2 linked regions of the Neodiprion lecontei genome follow. The protein of the gene in region 1 purifies or fractionates together with the protein of each later gene. This does not show direct contact. Links are inferred from orthologs where the notes say so. Each region holds a gene or a part of one and is shown on either strand. Other genes may lie near its edges.

Evidence for each region. The genes of interacting proteins can lie anywhere in the genome.
Region 2: the proteins of muskelin (region 1) and glucose-induced degradation protein 8 homolog purify together in Homo sapiens (affinity purification with mass spectrometry; 4 studies listed by BioGRID and IntAct, with this or other methods). This does not show direct contact. The link is inferred for Neodiprion lecontei from reciprocal best matches to the Homo sapiens genes MKLN1 and GID8.

The regions. Positions count from the first base shown.
Region 1 is NC_060260.1:37,761,229-37,769,345, forward strand, and holds muskelin, read left to right. Parts: upstream 1-1,745; 5' UTR 1,746-2,003; coding exon 2,004-2,092; intron 2,093-2,330; coding exon 2,331-2,400; intron 2,401-2,519; coding exon 2,520-2,662; intron 2,663-2,752; coding exon 2,753-2,957; intron 2,958-3,061; coding exon 3,062-3,109; intron 3,110-3,278; coding exon 3,279-3,471; intron 3,472-3,568; coding exon 3,569-3,804; intron 3,805-3,873; coding exon 3,874-4,154; intron 4,155-4,255; coding exon 4,256-4,433; intron 4,434-4,592; coding exon 4,593-4,796; intron 4,797-4,917; coding exon 4,918-5,109; intron 5,110-5,198; coding exon 5,199-5,441; intron 5,442-5,564; coding exon 5,565-5,804; 3' UTR 5,805-7,241; downstream 7,242-8,117. UniProt on the Homo sapiens protein: Component of the CTLH E3 ubiquitin-protein ligase complex that selectively accepts ubiquitin from UBE2H and mediates ubiquitination and subsequent proteasomal degradation of the transcription factor HBP1.
Region 2 is NC_060263.1:40,321,003-40,325,639, forward strand, and holds glucose-induced degradation protein 8 homolog, read right to left. Parts: upstream 2,618-4,637; 5' UTR 2,298-2,617; intron 2,167-2,297; 5' UTR 2,161-2,166; coding exon 2,040-2,160; intron 1,934-2,039; coding exon 1,539-1,933; intron 1,080-1,538; coding exon 891-1,079; 3' UTR 778-890; downstream 1-777. Other genes in the region: nucleoporin Nup35, read left to right, coding at 1-90. UniProt on the Homo sapiens protein: Core component of the CTLH E3 ubiquitin-protein ligase complex that selectively accepts ubiquitin from UBE2H and mediates ubiquitination and subsequent proteasomal degradation of the transcription factor HBP1.

The sequences.
Region 1 (8,117 bases):
GTAAATAATATACCTGTATTACGATGTTGGTTGATAATATGGTGTTTGTTGACGTACTTGCAAATTGTCGCACCATACGTGATACGTTACGCGAAGATCTGATTACAAAAAAATATTTATCTCTTGACAGCATCTGTTCAGCTCACGGAAATATTTCCACCTCAAATTAAGCCTCCGCCAGCAAACATAGACGATATCGTCCATCCTGACCTTCTCACTTATCGCTGTCTCGGGAATTTTTCATTGTTTAACAATTTCTATTCATTAACTATTTGAAAATTTCGTAATGTAAACTATTGGAATATCAAGTAGGCACCTGAAACTGATTACCTGAATCTTTTGCAAACTTTTGAAAATCTCTAAGTGAAGGGAAAAAGAACTCGTGTGACGAAATCGTTGATATTGACTGACGACATCAGTAAAATAACACATGACCGGCGGAGGGTTAACGAGTCAGATAGAAGTGTGAAAATCACATGCGTGTTTAGTCGAAAATTATTCAAAGGGCTGTGAGAAATTGAATATTTAGAGAGGAAGGTACGACGTGGTCTGTGTACCCTGCTGTTATTTTTCAAAGAAACCTTTATTAAACATAAGTTTTATATTTTTATATTATGCCTTTTTCATTGTTTGTATTCAAAAAGTTTGACAAAAAATATTTCAAATTATTAAATTGGATACGAATATCTAAATTGCTTGAAATTAGAAAGTAAGTACGTATGTATACATATATAATTTGAAGATAAAGAAAAAAAAAACTACCCAATTTGGTCTGAGTTTAATTTTTATTAAACAACAAGCCATTGTATCTACGTTATCATCAGTTTTCCATTCATGATTTTCGACTTCCTTGATCAATTGTGTAAGTTTTTATTTTTCTACTTCAAACGAGATATGTAACTAAGTGTTCAATGCTAGATATATAAGTCTGCATCAATAGGTGAAAATTTACTTCGTTAAGATAAAAAAAAAAAAAATCAGACATACGAATAATACTGTAAAGTATAAGTTAGACCAACCTTTGATAGTGCGTTGAAATTACTTGCAGTTTAGTAATAATAATCACGCCAACATTTATTATCGACCATGAGAGATTAATAAAATATTATTATTCATATTGTTTACTACCCACATGTAAGCTCTAACTAAAACTGTGACACAATTATTGCGCTAATCATTCTGTTCACGTTTCAATTAAGCATTAACGGTTTGGTCCTCAATTCAGGACAGAATTGACGTGCTAAGAAAAGGGTGTACCAAATGATGAAAACGTATTTTATATACAATTAATGATAAGAAGATATGACCTAGACTGACTGAAAGTCTAGTAAATCGATGATATTGTCTGATGATTGCGATACGAAAGAGAAGGGAATAAATGAACAAATTACACGATCGTAATAGTTGGGGAATATCTGTAATAACAATATTTATTGTCTGTACACGGCCAATGGGGTATTGGAAATACCTGATTTTTGTGTATAATCGGTAGGTGTACATAATCGTCATCTTGTTAAATAAATGAATATATTATTTAATATAATATTAATTCTTCAGTCGCAATGTCTTGACTAAATCATTCCCTCCAAATTATTTCTATATTTCAAACTCATCCAGTTTTATTTCTTGTTTTTTTTTTTATTCTTACATGTTTCGCATTTGCTTTCGAATTTACTAATGAAACTTGATACGAATACGCAAAATGGGGTCACGAAACAGTGTCAGTAGGTACGAAAATTCAGAGCTGACACAGAGAAATGAAAGCAGTCAATAACGATCCGTTGCGACGCATTTAATTTTGACCTTAGAATAGAAACAAATTTTCGACTATCAGTTGCTGATTGCGGCCAAATCATTGAGTGATTCAAAAATATTTAAAACGTTTCATCGGTGATCGCCGTAGTGCCGCGCTACACATGCGGATGTAATAAATACATTCATAGATATCTGACTTATGTATAAATTTCGGAACTTCGAAAAGGTTATGTCACTCGTGCAGCAATATGGCGGCGTGTGAGAGTGAAGATTTTCACAAGGTTTTGGAGTATAGAATTTTCAAATGCTCCAGCTACTCGTCGACCTATGTACCTGAGTAAGTATTTAAATTATCGACTCCTTTGAATCAGATAGAATCGTCGTGTGTCATCGAGCTGGCATCTGCCCACGACACGTAGAAATTTTACTACGCGTTCTTAACCTCAAACGAAAGCATTTTCTGTCAAGGACAACGCGTTCGGTTTCACTTAAACGAGGCTATTCACGGTCTCAAGGCCGAGCGGCGCGTGCAGGGTGAATAAACGGTTCATTGACCTTATTTCCCATATTTTCAGGAATATTCTCGTAGACGTACCGTCGGATCAATCCTCTCGCTGGTCCTCTGACAATGACAATCATCCTCAGGTATTACGTGCAGTGTGATAACGATGATTTACTTTCTCTATTATGCAATCTTAGCTTGATTTAAACCTACACCCTTAGCTCTTTGTAACACGAATTTCTTTACTCTTCTCCTGTTGCAGTTTCTCATTCTCAAACTCCAACATCAGTCCATCGTCAAAACTATCACGTTTGGTAAATATGAAAAAACTCATGTTTGTAACATCAAGAAATTCAAAGTTTTTGGTGGACTTGAACCGGAGAATATGATGGAGCTACTAGAAAGGTGAGATGCTTCCTTCAAGCATATTTCAATTAGACAACAAACGATTCTGTTTTACCTAAACTCGTCTTTCACGTCTCGTTTTCCTTGCAGTGGTTTGAAAAATGACTCTACACCAGAAACATTCGACCTCAAACATGTGGTCGGGAATGACGAGAACTATTTTCCGATTAAGTACCTGAAAATTCTTCCCCTGCAATCCTGGGGCCCCAGTTTTAACTTTTCTATCTGGCATGTTCACCTCGCGGGAGTCGATGACCAGAAACTTGTCAAAAGCAGCATTGAATGTTTTAACTCTGTATGTATTTCGCTTTTCACTTTTTTAAGACATCCTAGAACATTTTGTCAGATGCATTCAGCTAATTTAGGTACCTAAGTTAAAGTACAACTTTCCAGTAATAGCAGGTTAGACAGCAGCATAATACCAACGTTTTTATTCCACTAAACAAGGTGACTATGAAACCTTAACCGTAGATGTCCTTTAACTATAACGGAGTATTGATTAAGCATAGTAATTTTCTAAAATTTGCTCATTTTAAAAATTATTGTCAAAGATTCACATTGTTTACCCTCATCTGGCTTCTTGTTGCTTTAATTTATTTGTAACTAATTATTGTAGTACCGTCAGAAAGAGGTGTTACGACTGTGTATGAAACATTTTCGCCGCTTGGAATATCCGGAAATTGTCAATACTCTTCAAAGAGTTACTGGGGTGAGTCTTGAGGATTCCAGACTGTCAACACTGTATGATATATTGGTAACCAAGGGGGATCACTGCCAGGCAGAAAGATTCATTAGCAACGCTGTAAACAGTAAGTTTCTGGTATTTATCAAGGTTATTCAAAAAGCAATATTTAATTAAAAAATTTCATCCTTCATCCATGAAAACTTGGTCATTTTTCGATTCAGTGGGACTTTTCAATGAGTATATAAATGCTCAGGCTTACCGAGCTATATGGACAAAAATATTTTCCAAGGATCCAAAACCTGGAATGAGGGGTGGGCATCAAATGGTTTTGGACCCATCGGCGGAAATGTTGTATCTGTTCGGTGGCTGGGATGGAAATCAGGATTTGGCTGACCTTTGGACCTATAATGTATCAACTGACAAGTGGCATCTTATTTGCAAAGACACAGAAGCAGTGGTTAGTCAATGATCACGGTCTTGCGATATCAGGTTGTAGGATCTGCAACTAACATAAGCTATATTTCAGGGTGGTCCTACCGCCCGGTCTTGTCACAAAATGTGTTTGGACCCAGAAAGGCGTCAGTTGTTCACTCTGGGACGGTATTTAGACACTCAATATCGCTCGCCAGAAAATCTGAAGAGCGATTTTTACGTTTATGATATTGAGTCTGATAAATGGACACAGATATCTGAAGATACCGGAGCCGTCGGTGGTCCTCAATTGATTTTCGACCACCAAATGTCAATGGACGTCGCTAAGAGAACTATCTATATTTTCGGTGGACGTGTTCTTGTGCCATCGCATGTGTGAGTAAAACTTATATTGAAAGTGAAAATGAAAATTTTGGCTCAGATTAAATAAATTCCAATCAATTTTTCAATCTATCTTATCACTCTGCTTCCTTTAGGATTGAGGATAACCATGGAGTTACACCAAACGTGACAGAACCAGTATTTTCTGGATTGTATTCGTACCATGTGCCAACTGGGACCTGGAGTAGGCTCGCTTGTGATATTGCGAGACCCAGTCCGCCTAATATACCAACAATTAGGTCCAGAGTTGGACATTCCATGCTATTTCATCCGGTATGTCACTTCTTGTTCGTTGGATGTTGTGCTCCTTAATCTTCGATAATACGCATCTAATTCATATGCCCAAAATAAATAAACTCGTAGCTACTTGTCAAACAATGTAATTGGTAATAAGTGGCTCTATCATTTATAATAATGTAAAAAAATTTCTAGGAATTCAGAAAACTATACATATTTGCGGGACAGAGGAGTAAAGAGTATCTAAACGATTTTTTTACCTTCGAAGTAGACACCGAGACTTTGGAACACATCAATCTCAGTGACTTGGGAAACCGGGATTCAAATCATGTTCCCGCGGCTGGTTTTACCCAGAGGGCTACTATTGATCCTGAACTTGGCGAGATTTACGTTTTATCTGTAAATACGTAACAATGTTCTTTTTCTTTATGGCTCATCAATTGGTTTCAGCTATTGGTGATTACTTAATATTAAGAATCAACATAAAACCTCAGCGCTCACAGATGACTCTTACTTACAGGGTCTGAGCAAAGACAAAGAGAAGAGAGACGACAATGTTCAAAATTCTCTTTGGGTCTACAATATTAAAGAGAACCGATGGTCTTGCATATATCGTAATGAAAACGTTGGTGACAAGTATTGGAATAGTATGCAGGATTACGAGCCTTGTCCTAGATTTGCCCACCAGCTTGTGTACGATCATATTCAAAAGGTGAGCCACGCTGATTAAAATAGTCAAGGTGAACTCTGATTGCTTTCAGCTTTGACCGTTACTATTTCATTACGTTTCATATGCCGCAGGTCCATTATTTATTTGGAGGAAATCCGGGGCGCTCTTGTCTGCCAAAATTGAGGCTGGATGATTTTTGGCAGCTGGAACTCTGTAGACCCTCTCATGAGCAGATTTTGAGGAAATGCAAGCTGATAATAAGGAAGCACAAATTCGAAGAATTGGCTATGAAAAATAGCATCGAGGCTCTCGAGTACCTGCAGACACAAGTATACGAAATCATCGATCATGCCGATCCGGAGCAAACCAAAGAGGTATAAATCGTGTTTTAGACATAATTTAGACGTTAAAAACGTCAACTATCGGCTATCTCGTTTTTTTTTTCTATTTTGCAAAATATTAAGCTTAATATAGTAGTGATATTTGTTGTATCGTAGTTTCAGTTACTGGCTTCAGTTCTTTTCCGAGAGCAAGAAAGAAGCATGGATAACAGTTTAGATCTGGATCCAGCATCCAGCACTAGTTCCAGTGATCGAATTAATTCAGTGGTGCCAAAGAATTTTACGATGCACGACATCCACGCTCGCCGTACGGAATTGTTTGACAAACTTACCGAATTTTTTCCTGAAAGTTTAACTCAGCCGCGAGCAAATCTTATAGACCTTTTGCCATTGTGATATTTTTAACATGGTTAACGTACTTAAAAGTTATACTAATTTCGCGATTTTTTTTCCAATCACACACCAAAATCATACTTAGCCTATGTTTTCTTTATTGTATGTATAATTCAACAGCAACAAATAACAGACTGTTAGTCTTTTCGTTTAACAGGTATAATATCAAAGTCACGTGTTATTTATAATATTTTATTTTCATATTTAGCTCGTATAATTTCGTTTCAATATTACTACCGTGTATAAAAAATTACGACCAGTTGTAGTTCAGTTCATCATTATTTTTATACATACGGACAGCGATAATGATAACGTTTGATAGATTCGTTTCTGCAAGTAGTTTTGAAATAATGCCAATAGTCGTACTTTTTTTGATTATTTTTCATGAAGACTGTAATATTACATTTTATACGATTGTTTGTATCATTATATTTAACTTTAGAAATTTGGTTTAACTCTCTTTATTTATCAACTGTATCATCCTGTTATTCATCTCCGGTTTTACAATTGATTGAACTGTACGAAAAAAATTTTTTTTTCGAAGCCCGTACCTTTTCTCGCAATCAGTCAACGTTAATTTGCCATTCTACTTTATATTTTACCTTGTATTCGGTGTATTCGTTATTTTTAAAATGCATTGAGGAAAATACCCCAGTTTTTTTTTTTTCATTTTTGTCAGATTACATTAAATGAAACTTGGACCATTCACATGTTTGAAGGCAATTTTATTTTTACTTTCAATAGATTTTTATTTTTACAATTGCGAATTATTATTGTTGTTAATACTTGTTTACTTTTATCATTTTGTTCGCAACCTAAAATCTCTGTGAATTTCCGATTTACATGCTTGTAATACTGAAACTATAACTATATAGCAATTATTTGCCTCTCTGCTCTTTGCGAATTGTTATTCGTAATACTTGCTTAAACCTGAAGTTCATAATACAATGATCTACAACTGATAATATATATTGTCTAGATGCGTATTTATATAAAAAAGTTCTAAATTTACTTTAAATATTTAAGTGTACAGTGGTTTTATTATTGAAAATGATCTTAAGCTTCCGCTTGCCATAGTAATGAGTTGTTAATAGACTATTATGAATAAGCTCTAATAATAATAAAATAACAAAAATACAAATAATTAATATTTTATATTGCGTAGCTTTGTAAATATTTTTCATTAAGTTTTCTGTCGATATCGATTCTCTGTAATGTAACTGACATAATTTATACAATAATACATATACATATTATATATGTGTTTGTATATGATCACAATCTAACGATTATAAGATAACGTTAATGTGTATACAAACGTTAAATTTTTGGCATAATAACGCACTTTGGCATACTAGATAATCATACATCGAAATCTGTTACATGTCTCATCCAGATATTTCGTACTTTGAAAGGAGTAAAGCGAAAAATTGAATCTTTCATTATCCACCACGTGGCTAGATTGGTGGTTTTTTTTTTACACCTCCAAGCTACGACACATTATTTTTATGTAAATGTGTGTTGTCTATTAAACTTATCCATCGCTGTTCAATAGTAGCGCGAAGTAATTATTCACAATTGCATGGATTATACATGTAACGTAATTTCTACTTTTCCACAATTTGAAATGTTGAGAATTTATTCTATACTATTTGGGGGCATAACAAATGCATCAAATAGTGGAATATTTTTTAGGAAGTGGAATGTCTCAAGTCCAATTAATTAATACTTCATGGCCAAAAACATATTCATTTCCACAGATATGCTAATTTCGCACCTAAACAAACCATAATACTTAGGTGCTGTAACACACCTAAGCTTGAATGTTTCCTAGAATGAACGCGATTTCTTTTTTTAAAAATATAATGCTAGTTATGCGATGAGATCAACTGAAAAACGATCTGCGTATTGAATGGTGCATTGGAATATATATATATATATATATATATATATATATATATATATCTTAATACAATCTTAATACATAAAAGTTTCTCCATTTCACACAATATGCATGTTCTATTTGCACACGTAATAATGAAAGTGTGAAAAAAAAAATTAACATTTCTTCAAACATAATACAATCCATACTACGTTGGATATATATCTTCGGTCAACATATACTTTAATGTTGAGAAGTTTATAATCGTTGAAGTTTTTGTACAAAATTTATTATCCGCAGTAGTGGTCAAAGAATTCCTCGAAGTGAAATGTCTCGTTACAGGATTTTCTGCCGATATAGGAATGATAATAAAACTAAGTCACTTGGTACACAGGTAATAATATCCTAGTTACATAACGCAAGAACAAACGGAA
Region 2 (4,637 bases), on another chromosome or scaffold:
CATTTGAGCCCCCAAGCAGTTGTAATGCCTCAAAACGTGCCACAGAAGTCGACAGGGTTCTTCTCAAAAATTTATGAATACATTTGGTAGCTCGATGCAATTCCCCCATACTGCGTTTATTTCGCAACTCCATTCGGTTTTTACTCTTCAATCTGACGAATTTTAGTATAATTTTGTACGGTTGTTTTTTTGTTCGCATCAAGTGATAAATATTAATTTTTGTAATTGAGGGTGCAGTAAAGTCGACTCGTTGTATTCAATTAACCATCTTATACCATCATTGTCACGCTACATCAATATGGGATCGATTCGTATGTTTGAATGTCCAACAATTAACAGTAAATAACAAATGCCAATGTCACTTTTAGAATATAAGTATGTAATTTGCAAAGATATATTTTCTAACATTCATGACGTACTCTATTGTGTAAAGAATTGGACATGAATTTTTCCGTACTAACTTGATGTCATTTAAAGTTACGGTACACTGCTAATTTTTTTTAACTTTTACCTGTAGGCAAACATCATGTAATTGTGTATAAAATAAAGAAAACAGATTTTTTTATTCTGTATATCATTATCCAAGTCAGTCAAGGAGCGTGTATTAATAACTCTTCAGATTTGTCGTAACGTGATGGGCAGTGCAATTCAAAATTTCATTAACATTTTTCTGATCAAAACACACACAGGATCTGGGTGTTTAGGAATGTAGTAAAATACCGTGGTGGGGTTTAAAATTTGTAAATATATTTTGCACGAATAAAAAGTTGAGTTGAATACAAGATAAACATTTATTTTAAGACTTAATTTAATCACATTACCAAGGATATTCCTATAAATAAATTTCTGAATTCTGACATCTCTTATAACATCATTTTACTTAATTAATACTACTTTGGATTTTCGATTGTGGCACTACCCAAATCTGTCATTTTGGGATACTTCACTTTCTTGGTATCCAGCTCATCCTGAGCCCAAAGTATCATTTTTAATAAATTATTTAGTCTAGGGCTGGTAGTCTCGCGGTGTTCCATTTTTAAGATGGCGGCATTCAGCTCGCTTGCAATCTGCAACATATACTAATATTAAGAGGACATTGGGTTTAAAAAAAAAAATGAAATAGCATGTAAACAGAAGTTTCATCAAGTCATACTTATCTCAAAAAGTTTTTTCAGTTTATAAACATATTAATTTGATGTAGAAATGCTAAAAGGTTAAAGTACTTTTTGTGTCAGTTTAGTTGCAGCTGAAATGACTTAAAATGTGAATGCGATGTGTATCTGAGCAATTTGCATTTGGAATATACACAATCAAAAGTTTTCATGGTTTCCTACCGCTATTTAGAAAAACCTAGTTGCGTATCATTATTGCAAATAGTATGTAGTTGAAAATATGCGATATGGATTCAGAATAGAATACAGTCTTCAGTAAGTTCTTAAATTTAGTTCAATTGTAAATACTGTGGGTAAAACTCGCGACTTAGGATATTCTTATTATTACAGATCCTTAATCAAGTTACATGACTTACGACAATTTACCTTCTGTCTGTGCGTTGGGTGCAGAAGATCACTGAAGGGACTTTTGTGTGGTTCATCGAATGCTAGCAAAGCCAAGGTACGTTCCAGCTCACTTAATATATTGTCATCAGATTCCCCAGCTTCGCTCAACTGTTCTTGAGCAAACTGGAGAGCCTCTTCGATTCGGCCAGTACGTATCAATTCTATAAGGTGAAGTTGCTGCAGGTGGAAATAAAGATATCTGTCATTATCGAGAAGCTCTGGATGTAGCTGATTGACCAGATCAGTGGCTTCTTGAATTCGGCCATTTTGGATAGCGTCTCTAATACGAATTCTATCATCCAAAGAATTTAGTTCAACCGTCGGCCCGACTCCAGATTCTTGTTGAAACTTTTCCGCCGCTTCTTTGAAGCCTTCTAAACATGGAAATAAAGTGTGGATTGAGAGTTTGTGTGAATCCCGTACTTGCTTTGGTTCATTTTGTCATATTAAATAAGATCTCAAATCGTGACTTGAGGTTACCTGTGACAAGGTAATTCATTATTAGGTTATTCATGGAAACACGTTGTATGTGGGACCCATCCTCGAGTTTGGCAACCCATTCGTCTTTTGACATGTCGTCCTGGTTGTCTGGGAAACTCATTTTTCCCTACGAAGGGAAACGTGGAAATAAATATTTTAGGGGTCAATGAATTGTGAAATTTGACAACAATTGAACTGCAAGAATGTACGCGCCACCTGTGACTCGGTATTTTGGTTGTAAAAACATCTTCAACCTACCCGCCAATCGTCGTAACAGAATAAATTAATCGATCCAACTGGTATAACAGAAAATATCGTCGAAATTTAGCTCACTAAAAGGTTTTCGCAACTGTCACCACGCCAGAACGTCATAAACAACGCATTCGGATTTACCAATGATCATAGAAACTATATTCTTTATAGATAGACCAACTACTTTCACCGTTTTTCTGACAATGTGTTCAGTATTCTTCAGTCAATGCAAACACTTTGCAGAGAGAAACCTTCTGCACTTTGCATTTCAATTTGTGCCTTTGTTGTGCAGAACGGACCCTTGAGATCTTTGCTTAATTGTAAGAGAGGCCATGTCGGGTTTTTCAGTAGCGTTCGCTGACGCGAACACTGATGCTTAATATGGCAGAGTATTGGGTGGTTACCGACCGAGCACATCAGAATTTAGTTTCAATAACCTATTTCGTGTCAGAGGATGCTACTAATTGTAAATGATGAGCGCAGAATATTAGACATATGAAATTTTACCTCATATCATCGATAATTGTGCAACCGATCGCGACCACTCGTTGCCGCAAAGCAGTGTATGTAAATCTCAAATTATTTTGTCGTCGGAATTCATAACCATAGAGAGTTGAAATAGGCCCGGAATACGGTTTTTATCAATTTTAAACAGTAGCCTAATATATGAACACTGAATATCCCACATCACTGCATATTATTGATGGCTTCACAACTCATTCTTCCATGATGATACAAATAAATTCAAATTCGTATAGCATGGAAACCTGTACGGATAATATGTCGGGTAGGAAAATGCATACACTCGTCGCGGTTCCAGAAATGAAATTTTATTTTGCGTTATTACAGGTATTCAACCGATTAATCGCAGCTAACATTGAAGATTATACCAGTAAATATTTTCTGAACGTATATAGGAATACATTGTACTATGATAAATCAATCTTTTATGTAGAACAAAATTTCCATTGGAACTTTCATAGCGAAATATCTGCACCAGAAATTTTCCTAAAAAATGAGTGAAAACTAATTGTAAGGGGTGCACGGAACTTTTCGAATGAATCGATTTTGATAATCGATTTGAACCGATACATAACCGACCAATTCCTGAATCGATTTCATGACAAAAGATCAATCCCGCCAAGATCGAAGTATTTTTGAACTTTTGAAAAATACAAGAAATGATATGCAAAACTCCTCAAAATATATACCATTGGTGAACGAGAAATTAACAAACTCCCTAAAACGATATACCATCAACAATCATTGCAATCTGTAGGATGTATAGATTATAAAGCACAGGCTTGATCCTTTTTGAAACTGTTTGAAACACTTTTGGTATCAAACAATGTTACCATCCTTTCAACACTTTCGTGCCGCATAGGTGATAGGCGTACTCTTATTATCACGCTCTGAAGTTGCATTGAATCGATCTTCAGCATGAAGAATCGATTCAGATGATTAATTGACAGCACAGAATCGGTACAAAATATCAATAATTAGTAGCTAATAAATCGATTGTCAAAATAATCCATTCAGATCGATGCATTTTTGCAAAAAAATGAGGTTACAGTAAAGTATGTTACTAATTGCAGGTTTTCGTAACTGTTTATTATATACTCACAGCTCAAAGCCGTATACAATTTATCGAAAAATATAAAATGCTATTTACAATGCGTTTGCTTATTTACTGACATAGTTATAGCAAAAATATATAAGTGTTATTTGGAGTACAGAATTTTTCATTTCCGTTTGCAAATATGTTCCAGGTTTGCAAATGAAGTGTCTAGTATGGAGTATTACATCGATTACGTTTCTCTTGATTTACGACTCAAAATTAATGAACGGGTATAATAATTTTAAATTGGAAAGTGGCTGCCTCCATCGTGATAATTTATTTGGTCTCTCAGGTCTTTCGCTTTACGAATATGCATTACTAATACAGACTCGATCTGTCGAACAACTAAAATTCGAGCTTTGACTACCATAGTGTTCGCTATCATACGTCGCTGCTCGTAATTAATGCTGTAAGCAATATCAAATAAATTTACGAATTATGTATGCATCGCGAACGTTTTTTTTTTTTTGCAAAAGAAACTCCTACAAAAATTCTTCCAATTTTCATTTCAAACGACAATGAATATTTACTCGGAATGGAGTAAAATATATGTTATGTATCTACAAGAGGAATAATCGCTAAAACATTGACTGTTTAGTTTGAATAGATTTATTACATAGTACCATGAACCAACATCTGCGCGGTACGAATGCTATATACTTATGAAGACGATTTTTTTCTTGACCTTGGTGAATTGTTGAGTAATATTATTCTTGGATATGAAGGTC